7 linked regions of the Tribolium castaneum genome follow. The main gene of each other region encodes a partner of the protein of the gene in region 4 in a complex. Links are inferred from orthologs where the notes say so. Each region holds a gene or a part of one and is shown on either strand. Other genes may lie near its edges. The genes, in order: SmD1, SmE, pre-mRNA-splicing factor RBM22, U5 small nuclear ribonucleoprotein 40 kDa protein, U4/U6.U5 tri-snRNP-associated protein 1, Usp39 and Prp8.

What was found.
Region 1: U5 small nuclear ribonucleoprotein 40 kDa protein (region 4) and SmD1 share a complex: the UniProt entries of both Homo sapiens proteins name them as parts of the U4/U6-U5 tri-snRNP complex. The link is inferred for Tribolium castaneum from reciprocal best matches to the Homo sapiens genes SNRNP40 and SNRPD1.
Region 2: U5 small nuclear ribonucleoprotein 40 kDa protein (region 4) and SmE share a complex: the UniProt entries of both Homo sapiens proteins name them as parts of the U4/U6-U5 tri-snRNP complex. The link is inferred for Tribolium castaneum from reciprocal best matches to the Homo sapiens genes SNRNP40 and SNRPE.
Region 3: U5 small nuclear ribonucleoprotein 40 kDa protein (region 4) and pre-mRNA-splicing factor RBM22 share a complex: the UniProt entries of both Homo sapiens proteins name them as parts of the postcatalytic spliceosome P complex. The link is inferred for Tribolium castaneum from reciprocal best matches to the Homo sapiens genes SNRNP40 and RBM22.
Region 5: U5 small nuclear ribonucleoprotein 40 kDa protein (region 4) and U4/U6.U5 tri-snRNP-associated protein 1 share a complex: the UniProt entries of both Homo sapiens proteins name them as parts of the U4/U6-U5 tri-snRNP complex. The link is inferred for Tribolium castaneum from reciprocal best matches to the Homo sapiens genes SNRNP40 and SART1.
Region 6: U5 small nuclear ribonucleoprotein 40 kDa protein (region 4) and Usp39 share a complex: the UniProt entries of both Homo sapiens proteins name them as parts of the U4/U6-U5 tri-snRNP complex. The link is inferred for Tribolium castaneum from reciprocal best matches to the Homo sapiens genes SNRNP40 and USP39.
Region 7: U5 small nuclear ribonucleoprotein 40 kDa protein (region 4) and Prp8 share a complex: the UniProt entries of both Homo sapiens proteins name them as parts of the U4/U6-U5 tri-snRNP complex. The link is inferred for Tribolium castaneum from reciprocal best matches to the Homo sapiens genes SNRNP40 and PRPF8.

Annotation. Positions count from the first base shown.
Region 1 is NC_087394.1:7,020,357-7,022,971, reverse strand, and holds SmD1 (probable small nuclear ribonucleoprotein Sm D1), read left to right. Parts: upstream 1-1,384; 5' UTR 1,385-1,525; coding exon 1,526-1,539; intron 1,540-1,642; coding exon 1,643-1,994; 3' UTR 1,995-2,115; downstream 2,116-2,615. UniProt on the Homo sapiens protein: Plays a role in pre-mRNA splicing as a core component of the spliceosomal U1, U2, U4 and U5 small nuclear ribonucleoproteins (snRNPs), the building blocks of the spliceosome.
Region 2 is NC_087394.1:32,141,537-32,143,967, forward strand, and holds SmE (probable small nuclear ribonucleoprotein E), read left to right. Parts: upstream 1-1,280; 5' UTR 1,281-1,497; coding exon 1,498-1,782; 3' UTR 1,783-1,931; downstream 1,932-2,431. Other genes in the region: kelch-like protein 21, read left to right, coding at 2,051-2,184, 2,234-2,393. UniProt on the Homo sapiens protein: Plays a role in pre-mRNA splicing as a core component of the spliceosomal U1, U2, U4 and U5 small nuclear ribonucleoproteins (snRNPs), the building blocks of the spliceosome.
Region 3 is NC_087399.1:5,882,269-5,886,025, reverse strand, and holds pre-mRNA-splicing factor RBM22, read left to right. Parts: upstream 1-1,441; 5' UTR 1,442-1,577; coding exon 1,578-1,631; intron 1,632-1,680; coding exon 1,681-1,734; intron 1,735-1,790; coding exon 1,791-2,054; intron 2,055-2,311; coding exon 2,312-3,202; 3' UTR 3,203-3,257; downstream 3,258-3,757. Other genes in the region: flr (actin-interacting protein 1), read right to left, coding at 1-185, 424-752, 808-898, 951-1,072, 1,181-1,196; thioredoxin domain-containing protein 11, read left to right, coding at 3,537-3,757. UniProt on the Homo sapiens protein: Required for pre-mRNA splicing as component of the activated spliceosome. Involved in the first step of pre-mRNA splicing.
Region 4 is NC_087399.1:11,299,474-11,303,567, reverse strand, and holds the start of U5 small nuclear ribonucleoprotein 40 kDa protein, read left to right. Parts: upstream 1-1,294; 5' UTR 1,295-1,392; coding exon 1,393-1,503; intron 1,504-1,551; coding exon 1,552-1,681; intron 1,682-4,094. UniProt on the Homo sapiens protein: Required for pre-mRNA splicing as component of the activated spliceosome. Component of the U5 small nuclear ribonucleoprotein (snRNP) complex and the U4/U6-U5 tri-snRNP complex, building blocks of the spliceosome.
Region 5 is NC_087395.1:24,229,694-24,233,764, reverse strand, and holds U4/U6.U5 tri-snRNP-associated protein 1, read right to left. Parts: upstream 2,801-4,071; coding exon 2,623-2,800; intron 2,576-2,622; coding exon 1,929-2,575; intron 1,877-1,928; coding exon 509-1,876; 3' UTR 195-508; downstream 1-194. Other genes in the region: APC7 (anaphase-promoting complex subunit 7), read left to right, coding at 2,943-3,011, 3,059-4,071. UniProt on the Homo sapiens protein: Plays a role in mRNA splicing as a component of the U4/U6-U5 tri-snRNP, one of the building blocks of the spliceosome. May also bind to DNA.
Region 6 is NC_087394.1:36,569,871-36,574,170, reverse strand, and holds Usp39 (ubiquitin carboxyl-terminal hydrolase 39), read left to right. Parts: upstream 1-1,500; 5' UTR 1,501-1,644; coding exon 1,645-1,720; intron 1,721-1,767; coding exon 1,768-1,806; intron 1,807-1,857; coding exon 1,858-2,118; intron 2,119-2,428; exon of another isoform or gene 2,429-2,672; intron 2,673-3,133; coding exon 3,134-4,263; 3' UTR 4,264-4,293; downstream 4,294-4,300. Other genes in the region: facilitated trehalose transporter Tret1, read left to right, coding at 104-1,473.
Region 7 is NC_087394.1:7,718,291-7,721,790, forward strand, and holds part of Prp8 (pre-mRNA-processing-splicing factor 8), read right to left. Parts: intron 2,752-3,500; coding exon 2,158-2,751; intron 2,099-2,157; coding exon 1,973-2,098; intron 1-1,972. UniProt on the Homo sapiens protein: Plays a role in pre-mRNA splicing as core component of precatalytic, catalytic and postcatalytic spliceosomal complexes, both of the predominant U2-type spliceosome and the minor U12-type spliceosome.

The sequences.
Region 1 (2,615 bases), on a different chromosome or scaffold from region 4:
AGCAGGAACGGACAGTTTTAATATACCTACGAATTAAAAAATAAACTTGTAAATATTACAACTTACTTTTTTTAATCTAGTTTGTAACTAATTAGTTTAGCCAAGTGTTTTCACTGTTTTCACTGCTTGTTGCCACAAAAAATTAATAATTATTGAGTCACACTAATTTATTATTAATTTCATAATCCAATTTTATCCTTTTTTTTATTTAAATTTCATAATCGATCGTTCACTGGTAAATAACCACCTAGTCTTTTAACATAATTCAAAAAAGTAAAACTAGAAAATTTGTATCCAAAAATGACTTTTTGTAAATTTTTTGGGTAAAAATGGTTTTATTTAAGTAACATTTTAATAAAATTGTACTAATAAACTTGTACTTGCAACGTAGTCATTTGATAACTTAAAACTAACCGGAATTTTTCAGTTCTTTCGACAGAGGTCAGAGTTGCGACCGGACCCGAGATCTTGCGAAAATGATTATTACTAGTTTTGTGTTATCTATTCTAATATTGTAATAAATAACATAAATTAATCAGTAACAAGTGTTTTTCAAATACTTTAGGTAGGGGAGAGTGGGGTTATTATGTACAGTGAATAATTATGCCCAAATTTCTGTAGGTTAACCCTCTTATCCTATAATCTAATTTTGCCCATTATAATCGTGTCCACATAATTTCAGCAATTTTGAAGCCTCACTCAAAAACTGTCAAACTAAAAACGTATCTTTCTCATGTTATAGTTATAATTTAGGCGAAAACAAGTCAAAAATTACTTTTTTTAACTTTTCAGATAAGTATTTTCTAACTTCTTATTAACATATAATTTATATAATCGACCTAATCTTAAATTTTTCTCCGCAAAATGTATTCATACAGTGGAACCCCTGTCACCCGAACGGGGATAAACCGACTCCACCAATTATTTTGTTCAATTTCAAATTTTGAATTCGAAAAATTTTTATAACACGAATTTTTGTTTAATTAATTAATTAACTAAAAACACGCAACTAATAAAAATTAAGAACAAGAACACTAGATGCACTAGAGAGAGTTGAGATTTTTAAGGTAAACACTTTGTTGGATTAGTTAAAAAAATTGCTCATATTATAATAACAGGAATCACTTGAACTCAACAAAAGTATTATTCCACTGTATTCTACAAAGATGATTTGAAGTGGCAACGGCCTATTCGGGTGATCGAAGTTCGACTGTATAAAGCAAAATATTTCATTGTTACTACGTGCCAATAGCAAGGTTATTTTGATAATAGCTGTGATAATAGTAAATAATAAAGAATTGTTTTTATTTTCAGAGTCCATAATTATCTGCAAACCTATAAAAAAAATAACGATTTAAAATTGGCGCCACGTAAGTGGCGCTCCCTTCGCAAGTTTTCTTGCCATCTCTTTCTTATATGCTCATTCTCTTTCCCTCTATGGAAGAGGGGGGGTAAAAAAACGTAAGCCAAGCGTGTTTTGCCGGCATAATATAAAAATTGTCTTAATTACACCAAAAATATCAACATGAAATTAGTAAGGTGAGAACGTAAACTACTGATTGATCAGACACGTTTTTATTTCCTTGAATTCCAAGTAAAACTCCTGAAAAACCACCTAACCTAACATTTCGGCCATTTTCAGGTTTTTAATGAAACTGAGCCATGAAACGGTCACAATGGAGCTGAAAAACGGCACACAAGTCCATGGCACTATAACCGGTGTAGATGTGGCCATGAATACGCACTTAAAAGCTGTAAAAGTGACTGTAAAGAACCGAAATCCTGTGAACTTAGACACCCTAACAGTTAGAGGAAACAACATTCGTTACTACATTTTGCCCGATAGTTTACCCCTCGAGACTCTGCTGATTGACGACACCCCCAAAGCCAAGGCCAAGAAGAAGGAGAGCGCCCGGGGGGCTGCCAGAGGCCGCGGGAGGGGCCGTGGCAGAGGGGGCCCCCGAGGCAGGGGCAGAGGGAGAGGGCGTAGATAAGAATACGTTCATTAAATTAAGTTTCGTAATTGTAAGTGTGAATCTTTTCGTTTAGTTCCAGTATTTGTAAAACTTTTATAATTCTGCTAAATTCATCAATAAAACATATTTAGGTTTAAAATGTCTTTGTTATTAAAAATCGGGACCTTGTACTAAAATGTATAAAACGTAAACTGTGAAACAAACAAAACAGAAGGCGGCTACAAATGCGAATGATTTTCGATTGTGTCTGTGGAGTTGTGAAAGTTGGTTTTCGTTTGTGGTTAAAAGTTTGCGAACTTCTCGTAACTCTTTCTTCATGTCGGCTTTTTTCTCGTTGGGGATTTCATCAGATTCGATCTTTTTTTCTAAAAGTTGGACCCTCACGTAACAGGCTTTGATTGCTTCTTCTGTTTTTGTTATCTACAAATGGTTAAATGAGTTTGGTAAAATTAACGTTTTACTGATTACCTCCTTCATGACGGAACATTCTCCTAAAGATAGCCCCATTTTTCGGGTGGTCTTAAACACTGACTATCAATACAGAAACAGATGGACTATCACTTTATTTAACCTCAATTTTTTTTATATTAATAATTATTTTACAAATTTAGGAACATTCTCTTACTTTCAATACAAAAA
Region 2 (2,431 bases), on a different chromosome or scaffold from region 4:
CTATGCACAGATTTCATATAAATGATCCTTTGGTCCTTTGGGATCGGCTAGGGCTCATTAACATCAATTTTGTATCGTTTTGGCATTAATTTTGAGATTTTTCTCGCCTAATTCTAGTTTTTGGGGCTATTAAGACTCAAACAACACTTTACACTTCATCACAGTTTGGAAAATATAAATAATATAAATAAAAATAATCTCCGGTGCAAATAAAAAAATTAAGGTTCAAAGAGGTTTTGGGCCGCAAAGGTGTAGCACTTACCTTACCCAAATTGAAAAATGTGTCTTTTGAGCCGGTTTTTCCCCGAGTATTCTCCATAAACACAGTCAAGGGGCAGGTCGTTGTGCGCATCGCGCCAGGTCACAGTCTGCGCGCCCGCACTTTCAAATTCACAAATATTCCACAAAAACAGGTGCCCCACTTTGCATTTTTGAACCACCCAGTCCAAATAATCACTAGTTTCGTTCGATTTTCTGAGAGATAACAACACTGACTGACAATCACGCGATGACAACTGTTAAAAGCAGCATCCATTTGGTGCAAAGTCAAAGCACTCTTGGCAATTTTTTCTTAAGTGTGATTTCAGGCATTTATCTAACTTTTTGAGCAAAATAACCCTTCCTATTCAGTAAAGAGTTGATTTAAATGTCGTTTCACATCTTTATATCGAGTTTATAGCTTGTCGTTTTTTTCTTTAAAGTCACGTAAAATTATCCCGCCAAAACCAAAATTGTGTCATTAAGGGTAACAATGACAAAGAAAGACCTATTGACGATTGTGTGTGTGTAAGACACGGCGCAACTCCTCATATTAGCTATTTCAAAACTATAAAAACGCCAACCTCGTATTTTCTCTCAAAATTAGTTGTTATAAATTATTTATGCACTTCAAAAAACTAATAGGTAATGTTATTTATAGTCTCAATGATTTATTTATTAATAACTATTTTACATTTTTATCAACCTTATTAAAAAAAAATTGAGTTTATGAGACACCAAGTTCAAAAAAAATATATAAAAAACTATCACGTCAAAGAAAGCTAAATGAGAATAAAAAAAATTTTTTTCGAGACATTTACGCCCATCTGATGATAATTATGGAATAACTCAGCTTGATTAGTTAAGGAAAACCCAAAATATAAATTGTGCGACTATAATTCTGCGTGAATAATTTTGGAAAAAAAATGGGACGTTGGTGTTTTTATAGTTTCGAAACAGCCTAAAAACGACCAAACCACCAGACCTTTTTCTGGTGTATTTCAGCTCGTCAAGCTTCCCGCGTTCCACGATTGCCAACAGAATACAGAACTCACACAGATAACCTTACTTTGGTCGTATTGTAAGCGTCGCCTCATTTTTTAAGTTTTATAAATACTATTGCAAACTTTGAACAAGTTTTTTTCTCTTAATACGAATAATTCGTGCTGTGTGAAAGTGTGTTTGCACTTAGCTTCCTTAAAGAACTTTTTTTGCCGGTAACCCAAGACTCCTCTAACCATGGCGTACAAACCACAAAAAGTTCAAAAAGTGATGGTACAACCCATCAACTTAATTTTTCGTTACTTACAAAACCGTTCACGTGTACAAGTGTGGTTATACGAGAACATTAATCTGAGAATCGAGGGGCACATTGTGGGTTTTGATGAATACATGAATCTTGTGCTGGATGATGCTGAGGAATATTACGTTAAAACGAAGAACAGGAGGCAGCTGGGAAGAATCATGCTTAAAGGAGATAACATAACGCTGATACAGAACGTGAATCCTCAATCAGGCAATTAGTTGTAAATTGTAGCGTAATTCTAAGTTTCATAACAATTTTTTCATTCGTTGGAGTAATGTGTTTGTATGAAAACCGCAATTGGTCTTAGTATTAAGTGATTCATCAACTTTCTGTAAAAGAAATGCGGACATTAAAATTATTTTAGTAATTATGTCTATTTTTATAACTTCAAAGTCCTTAAAATTAAAATGTGATGGACAATACAGGTAATTATCGCTTTTTTAGAATTGTGAAGCTTGTAGGTGTTCCAATATATTTTTTTTGTAGGGGGTAAAGCTGCGACAGGTTTTGTCGAACGTTGCGTCAGCTACATTGGCGAAAATGCTGTAGAATGTGTAAAAACAAACTCATTTCTTTCTCTTCCCAAAGAAGCAGTCTTAAAATTAATCTCCTCAGATTATGTAAGTTTTAAAATTTTACTTAAAATCATTTATTACTGTTTCAATTTAGCTCTGTTTGGAGGAAGAGGATGTCTGGAGAGCAATTTTAAACTGGGCAAAGTACCAAGCTGGTGTCACCCAACCCACAGCCCATTGGACTGAAGAAGAGAGGGCCAGAGTGTGCCAGCACCTCTCACATGTCATTTCTCACGTCCGCTTACTTCTGATTGGTAAATTAAATTTTTTTTTTCTCTTATTTATTTGTAAT
Region 3 (3,757 bases), about 5.4 Mb from region 4:
AATTGTTTACCGTCGGGACTCCAACTAACCCCATACACGCCCCCGCTGTGGGCGGGGCTTCCCACTTCCCCCACCAAATCGGAGGACGTACCATCGTACAGAAACACCTTACCATCGAACCCAGCCGAGGCAAATAAATTACCGGTGGGTGAATAACGAACGGCTTGCACAAACCTGCTGTGCTCCTGTAAAAAACAATCACGTGACGTTGACCAAAATCATAGCCACCTATGGTTACTTTATGAACAGGTATTTCCCCCCAAATTAGTTTTCGTCAAGGACATTTCGATTATCACGCAATAAAAAAAAAGGTAAATTGGGTCAAAAAAATGTGAAATTGCGTTAAAAGTGGTGTTGGTTTGTCAGTTCAAAGCTAGTGTATTTAATTTTGTGGGTTGGCGACACGAGTCGTGGCCTCCTTACCTGCTTGGTCATTTTGAACTTAAACGGGGGCCCCTCGAAAACCGCAATGGTGTTGTCTTCAGACCCCGTGATGATTCTGAAAGGTCTCGTGGGTTTGAAATCGCAGGAATTGATGGGTTTTGATTGGCCTGAGATTTCGCCAACGGAAGTTCCCGTTTCGGACATGAAAACATGACCGAAGCGTTCGCGGCCTTCGCCAACCACGACCATTCGTTGGTTATCAGGGGACCAAGCGATATCTTTGATGGGCCCCCCGATTGGGTGAAACTCATTTTTAAGGATGTGCTCCTTGTTGACTGTGTCCCAGATTCTGACTTTGCCCGATTGGTCTAGAAATAAAACCAGTTTGTTTTAATTTTCGGGGGCTCCAGTGTGTTGATTTACCTCCAGAGGCGATGTAGAAGCCGCTAGGGGAGTACTTGGCGACGTTTACCGGACAGGAATGTTCCGTGTAGACGTCGGCAATTGCAGGGTTCTGTAACAAACCAATTGGAGTGGGTTTCTAAGGGAGGAAAGGTTTTTTTTACTTGGATGTTGCGAATGATCACGGAATTGCCATTGGTGTAGAGAAAGTTCTTGCCTTTGGGATCCCCGCCCAACACCAGGGGCTGTCCTCGTTGGGTCCGCGGCAAAGTCGCGTAAATACTCTCTGGAAAAGATAAGATAAATTCCATTTCAAAATTAAACCAACCGGAATTACACGGGGTGGCTTGATTATCGCAACCTGTCAAATGAAACAAAAAACGGTCACACTTACTTGATGCAAATGACATTTTCCTGTTTTTTTTATGTGAAAAATGATCCGGTTTGCCGGAAATGGTAAGAATCCTCAAGTGGAACACGGAGATATTGTAGTAGAAAAGTTTACACTACGTGTTGGCAGTTTACGAGAAATTCTCTTGGCACACGCACTGGTTATGAACACTTGGCAAATAATTTTATTTCACAAATTTCGCAAAACCTATTTATCTAGCGGTTATGTTTGCCATAAAAGGATATAAATGGATCACCTCTCGCCCCAAAACGCCTGCGCCACGTCCCCTCCCATACACAGGTTGGCAGCACTGAGTCACGTCAAGTAACTATCAATAAAGCTTGTTTTTAGTTTTCGTATAATTTGAGCAAAACCCGAGCATAAATGGTGTGAAACTGCAATGGCAACGTCAAAAACAACAAACACATACAATCGGCAAAACTGGGAGGATGCGGTAAGTCCTAAACTGGAACTAGTGTAAATCTGATTTAACCTCACTTTAGGACTTCCCGATTTTGTGTCAAACCTGTCTGGGGGACAACCCTTATATTCGCATGGTTTGTATCTCCTGGGCCACAACTCTCCCTGATTTATTCAATAAATGTGATTTCAGACTAAAGAAAAATATGGCAAGGAGTGTAAAATCTGTGCGCGCCCTTTCACAGTGTTTCGGTGGTGTCCTGGGGCTCGTATGCGTTTCAAAAAGACAGAAGTTTGCCAGACTTGTAGCAAGTTGAAGAACGTGTGTCAGACGTGTCTCCTGGACTTGGAGTACGGCCTCCCTATACAGGTCCGGGACGCTGCCCTCAAACTCAAGGATGATCTCCCCAAGAGCGACGTTAATAAGGAATATTATATCCAGAATATGGAGCGCGAGGTTTGTTTTATTATATTTTGCGTCCACGAAGGCAGTTGAGTGCTTTAAAGAGCTTAGTGTTTTTTTATGTGGTAATGTTGCCTCCATGACTCACATCAGCCTTGCCAAATCAAAAAAAAACAAATTCACCACATCCACACCCAGATTTACCCTCTAGATTTGATTTAAATATTTCCGGTTCAGGCTTTTTTAAGCAAATAACATTGACTTTGTAAAAAGCCATTCAATTATCTGAATTTCGACCTCTTATTTTGCAGTTGCAACGGTCGGATACTGGCGTTTTGTCGAATAAGTTGAACGAACCGAATGACTTGCTAATGCGTTTGGCGCGAACAGCCCCCTACTACAAACGAAACAGGCCCCACGTATGTTCATTTTGGGTGAAAGGGGAGTGCAGAAGAGGCGAGGAGTGTCCTTACAGACACGAGAAGCCAACAGATCCTGAAGACCCCCTTGCTGATCAAAACATAAAAGACCGCTACTACGGCGTGAACGACCCTGTTGCTGATAAATTATTGAAAAGAGCGGCAGCCATGCCTGCATTACCGCCCCCTGAAGACAAAACCATCACAACTCTATACATCGGCAATCTTGGTACTCTCACCGAACAAGACATCAGGGACCACTTCTACCAATACGGGGAGATCCGCTCTGTTAGTTTAGTCCCTAAACAGCAATGCGCCTTCGTCCAGTACACGACCAGAGCAGCCGCTGAAACGGCCGCCGAAAAAACCTTCAATAAGTTGATTTTGGGCGGCCGCCGACTTACCATCAAATGGGGGCGGTCTCAAGGACGCGCGGGCCCCGCGATTAACCCGGGACTTGAGGCCTATGAACCTGTGCCAGGCCTTCCGGGGGCTCTGCCTGAATTGAGTAATAATTTCTTTAATCTCGAACCGGGACACATTCCATTGCCGAATATGCCGCCACCGCCGTCTCTCATCGTTCCGCCGATGTTCGGCCCCCCGCCCATGCCCCCATTTTTCTTTAATCCGCCCCAGTTGTCGGCGTATGTCCCCACAGCGGCTTCGAGCAGCACTGTGACGAGTGAGGCGACAGGGGGGCCCTCCAAAAGCACAGTGCATTATCCCAGCCAGGATCCGGCCAGGCTGGGAGCCACGCAGTTGCATGCAGATAGGCAGGAGTAGGTCTTAGGTCTTATGAGGTGTACAATTTTTTATCAATAAAAAATTATGACCAGTGTTTTGTGTTTTTTCTTATTCCCCGTTACTCATTGGAAGGAAAAATTTGTGAGGATAATTAATAATAATAATTGTTTGGTTAAGTTGGGGGGTGACAGCTGTCATTGCACATTCGCAGTTGGTGGACTTCGTGCGACAGCGTGACAGCTGACGTGTGCTGACACGATGTCAAATTTCGTAAAATTTCGATTTTTCACCTAACCAAAGAGCAAAATTCTCCGAATCCGCGGCAAGTTTACGTGAAATCGAGCAAGGTTCAATGGTATGAGGTCAACTGGGTATGTCATCTCCGGTACAAGAGTCGGACTGTAACACCTCGCCAGCACCTGACCCAGGGACCACTCACAATAATGACCCCGACGTTGTCGCGACAGATTCAGATAGCGACACCGATAATCCCGAAGCGAGCGTGGCAGACCGTCCCACGTTAACCCTCAAAATGTTGAACTTGTGCAAAGAATTCCTGATCATGATTATCATCGCGGTGGCCTACGCTGCCCT
Region 4 (4,094 bases):
CTAACACATGCATTTTACAGAATATGGAAATTACGCAAACTTTGATGGAATGCCGCAAATATTTATCCACTTTGCGTGTCGCAAAGTTTAATGTTTGAGCACTTATTTTAAATATTTTTATTAGATTAGTTGCATCACACTCTCCGTAGGCACGGAAGTAAATATTTTAAGTAAAAATTAATTAAAATGAGTTATAAAAACAGGATATACATATTCTGGAAGAAACGTACGTAAATATTTGCAAATGTTTAGGCAATTTTTTTGGCATGCAATCAGTGTTTTAAGTTTTTTCTGTAATATCGTCTAAGAGGAAGAAATCATTAATCAATGTCGGTCTGTTAACAAAATTCTACGTTTAAAAAAGGCACAGATAACATAATTTTCCAACAAATTTGGGATTTTCGATTAATGATTTTTAGTGTCATTTTAAGAGTTTTTTTACAAACTGATTTATTTTAGAGTTTAAATGAGTTCAAAAATTGAGCAAAATAAACCAAAGTCAAGTCAATTTTTAGTTAATTTAAGGATTTTCACGGTGTTTTTTCACGAAAAAAAGTGCTAAAATATTAAATAAACATCTGAAAATAGACAAATAACATTATTTTTAACACGATTTAACAACCTTTTGGATTGTTTTGCCAAAATTACACAAAAAACATTAGTATCTAGTATCTAATTTTGATCAAGTTTGCTGATTTTTAAGTTTCTTCTGACAGAATTTAAGAAAATATGTAGTTTTTAAGTCGAAACTTTACTGAATCAAACAAAGCAGACTATAATAACGACTATAATTTGGAAGATATCATTCTTATCAATCTATTTTAGTAAAATTACGCAAAAAAGATGTTTGTAGTTTGAAAATGAGCCTAAACTCCGGGGGTTCCTCCTAAACTTAGGAGATGAAACAAGATATAAAATTACAGGAGTTTCTAATCCCAAAAAATTAGTACGACACACTAAAAATGATGGCGCAATAATGCAACAGTCTTATGGGGTTGTACCTCAAATATTTGCCAAGAGAAACTTAATTGTGTTTCAGTGTTGCAAATTACTAACAAAAATCTGTTAGTACCGGGAAAATACTGACAATTTTAGAGCAAAAAAGTAATAAGAATTACGCAAAGTGAGTTAAGTGAGCTAATATTAATCGTTTTCGAAATTTTGGCAAGTAAAAAACCAAATAATTTTTAGATATCGACATTGGGAAACCATTTCATTGTTGTCAAACATTTATTCCAAAGGAGATAACTATTTGTTTTATATAATTGAAACAGGGTATACAATCAAATCGTACTTCGTGCTCTCCACCAGAGGGCGCTTATCGCTTCGTTTTGTTGACGCTAAAAAGTGAGGTTATTGTTTTCCTCCCAATTTTTGTTTAAAACACCAAAAATGGTTGTTGAGAAACGTCGAGCCGAAGATTCATCATCTCTAGTCCCCGTAAGCAAAAAATCGAAAAATGAAGTGGCCACATCGAACAAAAACAAATCGGTCTTACAAGCGGTTAGTAACACTTAACCTCAAAAACCCTCCTCAAATCATGTATTTCAGGCCCCTGCGAGAACTTCCAATCTATTTGCCCCCATTATGTTACTGGAGGGCCACGAGGGTGAGATTTTCACAGTGGAATTCCACCCTGAGGGTCAATATGTAGCTTCATCAGGTTTCGACCGTAGAATTTGTAAGTTGTTTTTTTTGCAATGAGGTTCAGCCAAATAGGTCTTCATATCAAAATTTTGGAGGATTTACTTGAATATCTAATATAGTAATTTGAAGTACATAGAGGGTGTCTTAAAATTAACGCCCGTGCGTTGGGAATTTGATTCAGGGGGTTAACATAATTCGAAAGTTAAGAGTAAAAAATTTTCAATTGTTATTGATAAAAATGTAAATAATAAGCTTAAAGCTGTTTTTCCAATTGTTTGTGCAACATAATTCATCAGTTGATGTTAGCAGGGCTGAGCCATGCCAATTGGCCGCCTGTGTGCAGGTTCCAATAGTAGTTAAAAATTACCAAGTTAAATAAATGGAAGCAAATGTTCATTTTTAAAATATTCTGAACTAGTTTATTTATTCAAAAATAAAACTATTTGTAACAAGAATATTTTTAAATTTTGTACAGGTACATTAGCTGTTAAAAATAATTTGATAACTACAGTTCATTCTTTTTTATAATTAACTGTCAGTGTCAAAATTTTGATAAAGACCAGACTGTATCACACCAAAATCTCATGTCTAATCACTTTCGAAACTAGCTGTATTCTGTATTTGACATTTTACACACCAGATTTGACATTCGGGACAATTTTTGCAGCCAATGAAATTTGAATTCGTTAGTCTTTAGAATTTGTTAGCCTTTTAAAAAAATGTGTTGTGCGTGTTGTAACTTAAAGACCATTAAATTAAATTTGCCAGGTAAAAATTAGTACCATCTTAGTAAAAATTACTATTTATGGTAATACTAACCTGACGGCTCTTTGACAGTTGATTATAAAAAAAATCGACTATATGTATACACGAATTGTTATTGCTTTGTTTTATCAGGGGTGCATGTTTTTTATTTTTGTTTTTTAACTAATATGAAAACAACCTAAAAACAAAAAAATAAGGAAAAACAAACAATCGTTCTTATAAAATAAAGCCAAAACAGAAAAATAAAGCCCTTGTGTAAAATTATTCATAACTTTTTTACCTCTTTCATTTTTTTATTCTTTTTGTTTTTTGATTTTTTGCTCCATTTGTTTGAATTTTATTATACAGCGTGCTCAAAAACTGGCGCACCAACTCATTGGTGTGTGGTAGAGAACTGGTTACATATAAAGGTAAAAATAGTAAAAAATTCTTTGTATTAAAGTTATTGATAAATAACGGATTTTGGATAAATGATATGTGGCAACGTTGTCTAACAGTCATGATCGCAACAGAAGTTGAGCAAGAATAAAAATAAATTATTTTTGAAACGGTTTCCTAGGAAATAATTGCCAGTGTTGGCACATTTACACATTGCGATTTTTTGGATGAATTTTAATTTTTTTAAATTAAAAAAACTGCTAAAATCTGATAGTAAATTTGAAAATAATTATTCATCGTTTTGTTACGGAACGATTACTTGGTATGAAACATAAATACATAAAAAAAATAATGAAAACTAAAGAAGTTAACACAATAAGTTTGTAGCTCCAGATTTTTCAAAATATGACTTTAGGAATTTTTTAAACATTTTTCCCGTAATCTGCACTTGCTTCTCAATAATGTACCACTGAGTTGGTGCGCCAGTTTTTGAGCACCCTATATTTATCAGAAATATGAAGGAGTGTAGTACTAAAATAGTAAACAAAAAAGTTGGTGGCTATTTAAAATGTTATTTTAACATGTCTTTTCTCAATAACTGGATGTCAAAGACTAGCGTTTCTAAAAATAAAATTGATTTGTGTATTGAAAAAAATAAGCCATAACTAAGATATAAATTTTATGTGTTATATTAAGTTTACTCTGTAGAATAATTGGACAGAAAATTTTATGGTTTCATTCTAGAATTTTTTAATTTTCTAGTCCGTATAAATGACTACTATTTAGTCATTTGCTAAGTAAAATGTTGACATTGCGTGGTAAAATAATCTAAATGCTGAGTGGTAATTATTTATCTATTTTTAGCGATATTTGGCCAACCAGTTTTGCAAGTTATTTGTGCGTTAGGTATTTTACAGGGTTCAATTTTTGTATTAAAGCCCTCAACTTCGTTTCGAGCTTCAATATTAAAACTTCACGCTGTAAAATTTTACCTACTACAGGTAAATTGTAAATAACTATTACTAGAAAGGCTATCATTCCCTAAATTTATGCGTGTAAGTTAAGACTCACCCTATATACGTCTGAACTTATATTCATTTAGGGATCTTCTCCAAAAAGGTTTCTAACTTTATTCAGAAGGAACATATGAGGATGTAAATAAAGAAAATTATCAATTATAGTTTTTCGAAAAATTTTATTTTTTTATAATAAAGGCAATACCAAATTCAAAAACGTCTTCCGCATTCAATTCAACAGAAAATTTTATGATTTTATTCTGTTTTTTTAAGTTGTACAATCATTTC
Region 5 (4,071 bases), on a different chromosome or scaffold from region 4:
GATTACCGTGCAATCCCTATCCTAATCATGACTGATAATGGTGCTCACGGAAGTGACGTGAAAGGTCACGTCGAGAGCTGGTCATCAACCATTTATTTTTTTAATTAACTATAACTTTCTGTTCAATATTTTCCTTTATTACCGTTTTGTTGGAAAATATGGGAAATTGGTAATTTCTAATTAAAACACGGAACTCACTTTTAATTCATTTCATTTATCGCAAAAATTATTACACCGTTTGTACTCGTAGGGAGCCAGACTTTAAAACTTATTCATAAAACCATTATCATTATCGTACCCGTCCCTTAAAAACGATCTACAAAACAAAAACATTTCGTAACACTTTTCGTTAGGACTTTGTAAATAAAAACTGATAAAAATGAAACAATTTATACAATTTACAATGATGCCCAGTTTTCCTTAATTTAAAATTGCCACTTCTTTTTAGAGTAGCGCTGAATTTTGTTCACACAAAATTATAGTATTTATTTATTCTTAGTCATTTTACTTAACGCCGACTTTTGGAAATAACCGCCGTTTGCTGGCTCTGCTTGTTCCCCGACAAGACCACATACGGCGACTGCGTCTCCTTCTGCTTCGCTTGCAGCATATTCAAAGTCCCTAAGGGCGTATCCGTCGAACTCATCTTCTTCATCAACTGCTCCTGCACGCCCTTCTTTATCCTCTTCTCGATCTTATTTTTCCCCGGCCCTTTCCCGTGGAACTTATGCGAGAGATACCTGAAGGCCTCCTTCGAGTTCAACACGTGCCCATCATCGTCGATATACTCCAACTTAACATTGGGCTTAAACCCATCCTTCTCCTTAAACTCCATAATGGGGCCAGTGTACCTCTCCCGGCGGTTCGCGCGATCGCCCTCATCCCCGTAGGTCTTGTCCTCGATAGAGTAATGCTTGGCTTGCAAATGCGCTAACCGCGAATTCGACGGCCTCTTATTCTGCTCCTTGTCCAGGTACCCCTTGCTCATTGCAAGCTTCAAAGCTGCCCCAAGCCCTGTACTGACATCAGGCTCTTCGTCGAGGATTTGCACCTCTTGTGGGGCAATTTGCGGGCTTTCGTGCGGCTCGTTTGGATCGACTGAATTCCAGCCGGTTTTCTCCTCCTGCTCGACTTCGTCCATTTCGGGCTCGTCTTTCAGATCACGCTCGAAATCGATCAAATCTTCGGTTTCCTCGCGGTTGCCGGACTTGCCGTACGTTGGGATGTCGCCCAAAGTGCGGCAAAACTCCGCCGTGGCGTTCAGAACAATACTCCCCTCCAGGTTTTCCTCACTTTCGCTTTTAACCGGCGTTGATTTAACAATCTCAGCAACGAGGTTCTCCTTCTGTTTGATTTTGCGTGTCTTGTGCAGCGCTTTTTCCAAGAGATCGTCCTTCTCGTCCTCGAGTTTGACGTCCGTGGGGTATTCCATTTCGGGGATGTCGTCAATGGTCAAGTCTTCGAGCTCTTTCTTTGGGCGTCTTGAGCCGACTTCCTCGATGCCTTTGTTGTTAATTTGTTGCTCCAATTCATCAGCGGTCAGTTTTCCCTTAGTTCGGATTTTGCGGACTTTCTTTTTGGGTTTTTTAAATTTGGACAGTTCCTCGTCGTTGTAATATTCCGATGCGAGTTTTAAATCTTTTGTTTCAATCGATTCGATTCTTTTTTTGGCGAGTTTTTCCTTAATTGATTGCACGATTGCTTGTTTACGTTCAACCGCATTGTCGTAACCGATTTTGAAGCTTTCGCGTTTTTCGCCGTCGATTGTTTCGTCGTATTGGGCCAAAAGCGACTTTTCTTTGGGGTTGCCAAACTCGTCGTACTCCTGGTCTTCGTAGGCGTTATACAAAATCTTCTTCTTCTTGTTTATAACGTTCTGAAATTTGATGATAAATAATCATTCACTGTAAATATTTGTAACAAATTACCTTTTTGTATCTCTCGTCCTCAACCATGTTGACATTGACCAGGACATCCTCCTTGTCTTCATCCAAGACGCCCTTGTCTTGCAGCGTCAAGATAACATCCCTTTCCTCAGCAAAGCTATCAACATCATGCTCCACCCTCAGCCCTTTCAAATTCCTCTCAGTGTATCTCTGCTTCCTCTTCTCCTTCTTCTCATTCTCCACAAACTCGCTGACCCCAAACTGCTCATCCAACTCCTCCAACATTTTCGCCCTTTTCTCAGCCTCCTTCTTGGCCAATTCAATCTTGCGGTTCTTATCAACCCACGACTCCACATTATCATCACTATCACTGTCCCCCAGCAGCTTCACCTTGCCCAGCTTATTCTCCAGCTGGCGCTTTTCCCGAATCGTTGTCAATTTGCCCTTCAGCTTCTCCCTCTCGTGCTTATCCGCCCAATTCTCCGCCGGCTTGTGGTAAAACTCGCCCCAATCGTCCTTCTTCTTCCCGTCATCCCGTTTCTTCTCGGACTTGTCCCCCGAACTCACATCGAGCGGCTTCAGGCCGAGCTTCGCCCGCAGTTTGTTCGTTTCCTCAATCGAGAGACTCTCAGCGTTTTGCCCGGAGCCCGAAGGCTCATCGTCCGGAATCACCTCGATCACGTCGGATCCTGGCAAAAAATCATTCAAACGGGAAAGTTGGACGCGGGGTGCTTACCGTCGCTGTCGTAGTCGTGCTTCGCCCTCGCGTCGCGCTTCTTGTCCCTGTGGTGCCTCTTGTGGCGGTGGCGCTTCTCCTTCGGGGGCTCATGCTCGTCGGTGTAGCCGGGGCTGTGGTGGCGCCGCTTACGAGACTCTTTCTCTTTTTCTTTGTATTTTTTGCTACTAGAACCCATCCTTTTTACAAAATTTGAAGGAAATACCTACCGTACACAACGTCAATGCAACGTTTTGACGTGCGCGAAATCCGGATTGGTGGTTTCGCCGTTACGGGATTTGCCGAGTTCAAAAACCTAACCCCACATTTGCCAAGCCAAGATGACCAACTTATTGAAGCAATTGCAGGCGATGTACGAGCTTGCCCTGCACTCGAACATCTCCCGAGTGGTTTGTAGCCCCCTTTTGGGAGTCTGAGCCCCCAACTGTGCTTTTAGTGCGACTTGGCCCTGTCGGCGTCCGAGCAAAAGCCCGACTTTTTGCCCCCTTTGCAGAAGTTCCAGGTGATGTTGCTGTACGCCGATTCGCTGTACGAGACGCAACAGTTCGCCCAAAGCGAGAGTTTGTACCGCCAGGCCTTACAGCTCCGCAAACACCTCTTAAAAACCAAGTCAATGTCTAATAAAATCACGGAGAGTCAGCCCGAACTGGCCAGCGATGTGGAGATCAGGTTCAAGATACACAAGTGCTGCATGGCCCTGAAGCAGGTGAATGGGGCCATCGAGATGCTGCAGTCGATTCAGGCCCGCCTGCGGACCCCCAAAGTCAACATGGCGCTCGGCAACTTGTACAGGGAGGCCGGGATGGAGCGCTCGGCCATAACGTGCTACAAGGAGGTGCTCCGGGAGTGCCCGCTGGCCCTCGAAGCCGTGGAGAACTTGCTCAAGCTGGGGGTGAAAGGGGTCGAAGTCAACGCACTAATGGTGGAGGCAACTTCCGAACTAAACTGGCTAAACCTCTGGCTCAAAGCACAAGCCCAGTTGTACTCGCGCGACTTCGAAAACGCCGCCCAAACGTACAAAAGCATGGACAGCCACGGTCTACTCAAAGACAACACGTCGCTGCTGGTCAACCTGGGCTACTGCTACCACTACATGTGTGAGGACGAGACGGCGATTGCAGTCCTCCAGCGGGCGATTAAACTCGACCAGAACCTAGTCTTTGGTCGCGATTTACTGGCCACGCTTTTGGCGAGCTCGGGGACTTCCGAACACGTTGAGTATTTGGAGGATTTGATCCCGACCTCGGATATGTCGCTGTGGACGAGTGAGCATTGGGTGGTCATTGGCAATCTGATGTTTTCGACGAGACGGCACGAAAAAGCCGTTTATTTCGCACAGCAGGCGCTTTGTGCCTCGCCCAAAAACATAGAGGCGTTGCTGCTGAAAGCCAAGACGCTGGTGGAGCTCAGCAAGTACCAGGATGCCGCCCAGCATTGCACGGAAGCGAT
Region 6 (4,300 bases), on a different chromosome or scaffold from region 4:
CTGGTTGAACCTTCGCTTCTACCTGAACCAGAAACCCCTAAAAACTTAACGACCTGAATCCAATCCTTACAAAATCGAGAAACTCACTTTCGCTTCCTCGCAGGCACTTTGGCCATCGTCACCGACGGCATGATCTACGGCTGGTCGTCCCCCAGCCTCCCCCAGCTCAAAAACAACGAGACTTGCACCTTGTGCATTGACGAAAACCAGGGCTCCAACCTGGCCGTCATGCCCCTGGTGGGGGCGGTCATCGGCTCGCTCACCGCCGCCACCATCGTCGACATCCTGGGCCGCAAACGCACCATCCTTGCCACCGCCGTCCCCTTCTTCCTCTCCTGGATAATGGTGGCTTTCGCCCCCAGCATCGTCCTCCTCTACATCGCGCGTTTAATCGCCGGCATCGCCGACGGCGTCACCTTCACCGTCGTCCCCATGTACATCGGCGAGATCGCCGACCCCCAGGTGCGAGGGATGCTCGGCTCCAGCTGCTCCGTGACCTGGATCGCCGGTTTTCTCATCATAAATGTGATAGGGTCGTACCTTAGTATTAAAACCACGGCACTTGTGTCCTCAATTGTGCCGGCAATCCTATTTATTACATTCTTGTGGATGCCGGAAAGTCCGTACTATTTGTTAATGCGTGGGAGGGCGGACGAGGCCCGGAAATCACTAGAACGCCTCAAAAAACGCGAAAATGTCTCCGGGGATTTGAACCGAATCCGGAACGCAATCCAGGCTGAGGAAAAGTCGCACAATGGGAAATTCGTCGACTTGTTCCGGGTGAAGAGCAACCGGAAGGCCGTTTTCATCATCGGGGGGCTCCGGGGCTTCCAGCAATTGGCGGGGACCACGGCTATTGCCTTCTACACCCATGAGATTTTCCAAACTGCTGGGGACCACATTTCCGCACATTACGCTGTGATGATTTACTACTCCATCCAGTTGCTCCTCACAATGTTCTCCTCGAGTATTGTGGATAAGGCCGGTCGAAGACCACTGTTGATCATCTCAATGGCGGGGTCGGCGTTAGCCCTTTTTGTCGAAGGGACCTATTTTTATCTTTTGAACGAAACGGACATTGATACGAGCTCATTTTCGATCGTGGCCGTTGTGGGGCTTCTAGCTTTTGTGATAATTTTCAGTTTAGGGATGCAGTCAATCCCGATTTGTATGTTAGGGGAGTTGTTTCCCACAAATGTGAAAGCTTTTGCGCTTTGTTTGGCCGATGTTTACTTCAGTGTGATGGCCACAGTGGCCTCCAAGTACTTACAAATAACTAAAGTAGAATACGGACTACATGTCTCGTTTTACGGTTTCGGGATTTGTTCGCTACTTGGACTAGTTTTTATTTATTTCTTTGTGCCTGAAACGAAAGGAAAAACCCTCGAAGACATCCAGAAAAAACTGAGAGGGGAAGTCGAAGTTTGTGATGAACGAGGCGCCGAAGAAGAGAAAGTTAGTCTCAAAGCGTAATTTTATTGAATAAAGTACTTATTTTTTTACAATTTCGAATTTTATTGCATAACCAGATTGACATTATTATTGACACCGTTGACAGTAAATATAACCTTAAAGTTGCAAACACCACACAAAAACAGTCCTAGCGTGATTTAATCAAAAATTAATTAAAAAAGCGTGAATACGATGGAAGCGGACGATGAACCTGCCATGAAAAAGCCCAAGTTCGAGGAGCCCCAAGCCAAATCAAACTCCTCACAACGTAAGTACACATAACCTCGAAAACGCAACTGAAACGTTCAATTTTAGCCGAAATTGAGCCCCCTTCTGACAATTCGGACCGGAAAGGTACAAAAATCAATCGATTAAAGCGCCCTGTTCTATTATTGTCTATTCCAGGTGGGAAGCCCCAAACGCATCGACTGTGCCCCTATTTGGACACAATCAACCGGCAATATCTCGACTTTGATTTCGAAAAATTGTGCTCAGTGTCGTTGACTCGCATCAACGTTTATGCCTGTCTTGTTTGCGGAAAATATTTCCAAGGTAGAGGCACAAACACACATGCTTATACGCATTCGGTGGCCGAAGGCCACCACGTTTTCCTCAACTTGCACACCTTGAAGTTTTACTGCTTGCCCGACAATTATGAAATAATAGGTAATAAATACTCTCAATTGTAGTTTTGAAATTAAGTTGGCAACATTTTTCTTCAAATTTCAACAATTTTACCCAACTCACTTGATTCGAGCTGAAGTTTTACACCGAATTAGATTAAATCGTTTCAATAACGCGAATGTTTGAGAGGGCGCAATGCCAGTAACGCCCCCCTTCAAAAATAAAGTGAAATCTTCGTTTTGTCGCATTTTTCCGATTGGCATTTTATTGAATATCGTTTTGTATGCGTTTTCAACCGAAACTAACTCGAATTAAACCGAGTAATCGTGGAAAAAATACAAAAATGACTAACCTTAGCGTCGTCTAACTGAATTTTTTCAAAACCGGCTTCCAGCTTGCTGCTAACACACTTTGATAGTCTACACACGTCACATTTCCGATAAAAAGTCGATTTGAGTCGTTTTTGCCACTTAACACGCACAAAACACCGGTTTTTCAACACGCAAAAGCAAAAGGACGCGCACTTCGGCAGACAAGCTTCACTCTAACGCTGATGTCACGCCAACGGCACCTCATTGGCTGATTTGAAAATGACACTTGAGCGCGCGTGATTTGAAATTCGCGCGAAGTCTTCAATTGGGAGACTTTTTACAAAGATTAGGATTTATACGTTTTTACAATGTCATAATTCACGAATTTTGTAAAATAAATGCCTGTTTAGCTCAAAAACATGCATAATGGCTTAAAAAAAAAGGAAAAATGAGATAATTTGTGGCCTGATTTGGTAATTTTGCGGCTTGTTTGGCATTTCTGCCTGAAATAACAAGTTGGGATCTTCGGAAAAGACAAACATTATGTAATTATTGAATCCGTTTGGTGGTTTTTCGGTTAATTTTTGTGTTTTTTGTCTATTTTCGATAATCGTGTTGTCAATTTCTGAATTGAAAAAAGCAAATACTAGGAAATGTTCGGGGAAGTATTCGGTTTCAGTAATCAGTGTTGCCACTTAATTTCAAGCTCCAACGATTTTTTTCTAACAAAATTAAATTACTCACAGATTCGTCCCTCGACGACATTAAATACCTGCTCAACCCCACATTTACCGAACAACACATCAGTACATTGGACGTTAGCACAAAAATGTCCCGAGCAATTGATGGCCTACTTTACATGCCAGGAATCGTCGGTTTAAACAACATAAAAGCGAACGATTACTGTAATGTTGTTTTACAAGCCCTTTCACGTGTTGTCCCTTTACGTAATTACTTCCTCCGTGAGGAGAACTACAGCAAGATAAAACGCCCCCCAGGTGACTCCTCTTACCTCCTGGTGCAACGTTACGGTGAACTGATGCGTAAATTATGGAACCCCCGAAATTTCAAAGCCCACGTTTCGCCGCACGAAATGCTCCAAGCTGTGGTTTTGTGGAGCAAAAAGCGCTTCCAAATTACGGCACAAGGCGACCCCATTGATTTCCTTTCGTGGTTTTTGAACGCACTTCATCGGGCACTTAACGGCAATAAAAAGAAAAACAGTTCCATCATTTACCAGTCATTCCTCGGAAACATGAAAATTTACACCAGGAAAATACCACCGACCGAGCTTGACGACAGACAGAAACGCATGCTTTTGTCAACTCCAGAGTACCAGGAGATCATCACCGAGTCACCCTTCTTGTACCTCACCTGCGACTTGCCTCCACCGCCTCTCTTCATCGACGAGTTCCGGGAGAATATCATCCCCCAGGTGAACTTGTACCAGCTCCTCACCAAGTTCAACGGACAGACCGAGAAGGAGTACAAGACTTACAAGGAGAATTTCCTCAAGAAGTTTGAGATTACGCGTTTGCCGCCTTATTTAATCTTGTATATTAAGAGGTTTACGAAGAACACGTTCTACGTGGAGAAGAATCCAACCATTGTGAATTTTCCGGTTAGGAATGTTGATTTTGGCGAGTTTTTGACGCCCGAAGTTAAGGCCAAACATAAACATACGGTCTATGATCTAGTGGCGAATATTGTGCATGATGGAGAGCCGGGGAAAGGCACTTACAGGGTTCATATTTTGCAAAAATCAACGGGCAAGTGGTACGAGATGCAGGACTTGCATGTGACGGATATTTTGCCGCAGATGATTACGCTGACGGAGGCTTATATACAAATTTATGAGCTAAGATTAGAAAAGTAATTTTTTACGAATAAAATTCTATCACCGGAATTTTTGT
Region 7 (3,500 bases), on a different chromosome or scaffold from region 4:
ATTCAGATTCTCTTTATTTTCGTTAATTGGCTTTTTTTGTCTTATCAACTTCAACTTTATCTTTACTCGTGAGGTAAATTTTTTCTCATGCACTTTTTCGTCTAAGACTATTTTTTTTTTCACCGCAACTTCTTCCTGTGGTCTTTAAAAAGTTTCTGTTATTTTTACCCCAACATTCTTCTTTCCTCTCTTTTTTTTTTGTTCGACGAAATTTTCACTTCCTCATCACTCTTTTTAAACATTTTTTAAAAGTTTCTTAACTGAACTCACGTCTCATAAAAAGACTCAACACATTTTTCTCGTGCAGTTTTGCGAGTGATAATATAATGTGTTTTGCTAGAGAAAGTTTAAACTGTCATATCCCAAAAAAGTGTGCAGCTAGAATTAAATTATGTGCTCCAACGGACTACCAAACTTTTTTTTATTAAACCTTTATAACGTCTTAATTTCAAAATTTTACACTGTGTCAATATAAAAAAGTTTGTGATAAGAAAAAAAAAAAAGTTAAATGGTAAGAAAACAGAAAAAACCAAACGAGCAATGTGAAGACTTTTCTTTCTAGGAAAAATATAGAAATATAGAAAAAATATAGAAAAAATATTACATCAAATTTCTTTATGACCAAACCTAAAGTATTTGTTGAATTTACAATTTACAAATTGGTATGAAAGTAAACTCTTTAAGTGAGTGTTGTCCTTAAATTAAACCATTACTTCATAGGTCAGTTATTATCTCATTTTCATAGATATTTGAAAACTCATTTTATAAAAAAACTAAACATTCAAATCGCACGAAAAAAATATAAATAATAGAAGTAACTTTTTAAAACAAAACAAAAAGTGGTCATGCTAGACTACGAATCATAATTTCTGTAGCGCAGCAGAAAACAGCAATTCCTAAAAATCTTTAAAAAACGAGCGTACAGTAGGAAGGCAGAAGAACTAAGGAAAAAATTACAGAAGTGAATGACACGGAGATCTATTGAGGAATAAGAAAAATACGAAAAGACTTAAAAAGGTCGTAAAGAAAAAAGTAAGGATAAAATGGAAGAGATAGAAAACAAGTCAAAAGAAAAAGTATGAGGCACTCAACGAAAATAAAAACATGGGTTGAAGAAATAAAAAAATTATAAATAAATTATAAACAAAAAAAGAGTTTTAGTTTTTATTTTTACTTTGGATTTCTTATAAAAAGCGACTAAAAATGAATTATATCGTAGTGTGTCTTGCCTAAGCCAACGTAGGTCTAATTTAGATATACGTTGGGCTAGCCAAGACACAGTACACTTGCTATTTTGTACTATGAAAATATTAGTCACTTAAAAATAATGGTCTACTGACCAACTTTAATAATATGGTCGTAAATTTAAAAGTACACTGATGGAATGAAAGAAAACAATATTTAAATATTAACATAGATTATTTGATCAAATGAAGTACTCATATACAAAAAAATCTTCGAAAATATCGATTTTATTTTTATATATTTTTTTAAATTTAATTTAATAATAAAACTAGTATTTTTTTTATTTTAAGCTGCATAAGGTAAGTGTATCATTTATTGAGTTTCTTGCCTATGGACGTAACAGTTTAATTTAGAAACAACAATTATACGGAAACTATTTTATTAGTTTTTTAAAAATTCAATTTCTGTTTTTTTCATCCAAGCACGCTTTAAGCATTCCTAGTGTAATTTTGCGAAATTTAGGCAGTATTATTATAGTTATGTTCGTTTATTAGAACCTTTTGAGGCTCCAATAGGTTTTTATTTGATATTCTTGGTAGTTAAAATAATATTAATAATGAAAAATATTGTATGTGATATTTCAGCATTTTCATGAAGACTTTACAATGAAACGAATATCATACCACAACAGTTAATCTTCCACACTGCTAGTTTACCCGTTCCATGCTTCAAGAACGAATACTAAACTAATGTGGGTGAAAAAAACGCAAAAGAAAAAATTACATACCACGACAAGTGCACAAAATGAGGCATGTTGTTGTACAAATATGGAAACGCTATCCTATATTCGGTCCTAATAGGTTGCCTAATTATAATTTTATTGATATCGTTAAACTCATTCCAGTCTTCGTCCCTGCAATAATGATAAACAGTAAGATATTTAATAAAAACCTTAAAATTAAAAATTCTTACGCAGGATTCATATCCTTGATAAGCGGTTCAAATTTAGGCCCTCCAGGTATAGCCATATTTAAAGCTTTCGCCGTAAAGAAACTCTTGGTATCAAAAAGATAAAAATAATTGTTATCAACTAAATCGGTCAGTAGTTGGTTTGCCAAACGATACAATGTCGCCATCATAGGTAGCGTTAAATTCCATTTCCGGTACGTTGGGCCATTCACATACTTCATACCAACTAATGGTTTGTGGTCGTAAAACCATTTCGCAACTTCGGCGTCTTCCTCTGCGTCCAATTCAATCTGAATGGCTTCAAGTGGCTCAACATCTAGCACGTTATCGGCATAATCTAGAGGCGGTTCTTCGTCATCGAACGGTGGAAATCGCATTCGCTTGAAATGACGACGATCGCGTTTTTCACGTCGCATCATAATCCACATTGTTCCCCACTGGGCTATGTAAATGGGCTCAATCACCCATGGAATTTCATTAACAAAAGTTATAGCACCAGTTATGTGGTACAAAACTTTAACGTCCCTTATTTGTTCCCAAGGCATTGGCATGTTTTCCAATAACTTCATTACGGCATGAGGCATGTATTTTAAAGCGCTGGTAAAAAGAAAATTCAAAAATTATGTCACATCATGCAACTGAAGAAAAAAATTACTTTAGACGCACTCAAAGTAAAAAAAATAGCAAAGATCTGACTACTGTTTGGAAAAGAACGTCACAGAGCTGTACAAAGTGGCAAAGAATAATTTGTCTCAGACACTTTGTAATTGTAAAAAAAATCTAAACTATTAAACTATTATTTGACTGTGTCGTTATATATGGAGCGATTTCCTTCTATTTTTTTAGAGACATAAGCTTCTTTTTTTACATTTAGCCAGATACACATTTTTACTGCTTGCTATTTCTTTCGGAATCTAAGTTAGCTAAGCTTCGGAATTATTAATTCTACAGTGTTAAGTTTCAATATTCAATTAAACTCCTGGATTTAAGTTCATAATTCTCACCCAATTTATCGCTGGTGTATTAAGATTTCTATTATTGTAATTCACTAACATTTTTTCACAACTTGTAAAGTCGACGTCTTACAAAATCGACAAAGGTCTGAACCTCCCTTGTGATATCTCAAATAAATTCAGTTGTGTCACATTTTTTAAGTATTTATTAGTTTTTATATAAATTACACAGACCGAGTTTAAGTACAAGTTCTCTAAGAATTGCATAATATAGTTCTGAAAATTAACCACAAATTATGAAACTTAAAAAGTGATTTGTAAAGTCATCAAACACGTATTTTTTGTTTAACATTAAAATTTTATCAATACACATTCTTTTCAAAAACGCAATTT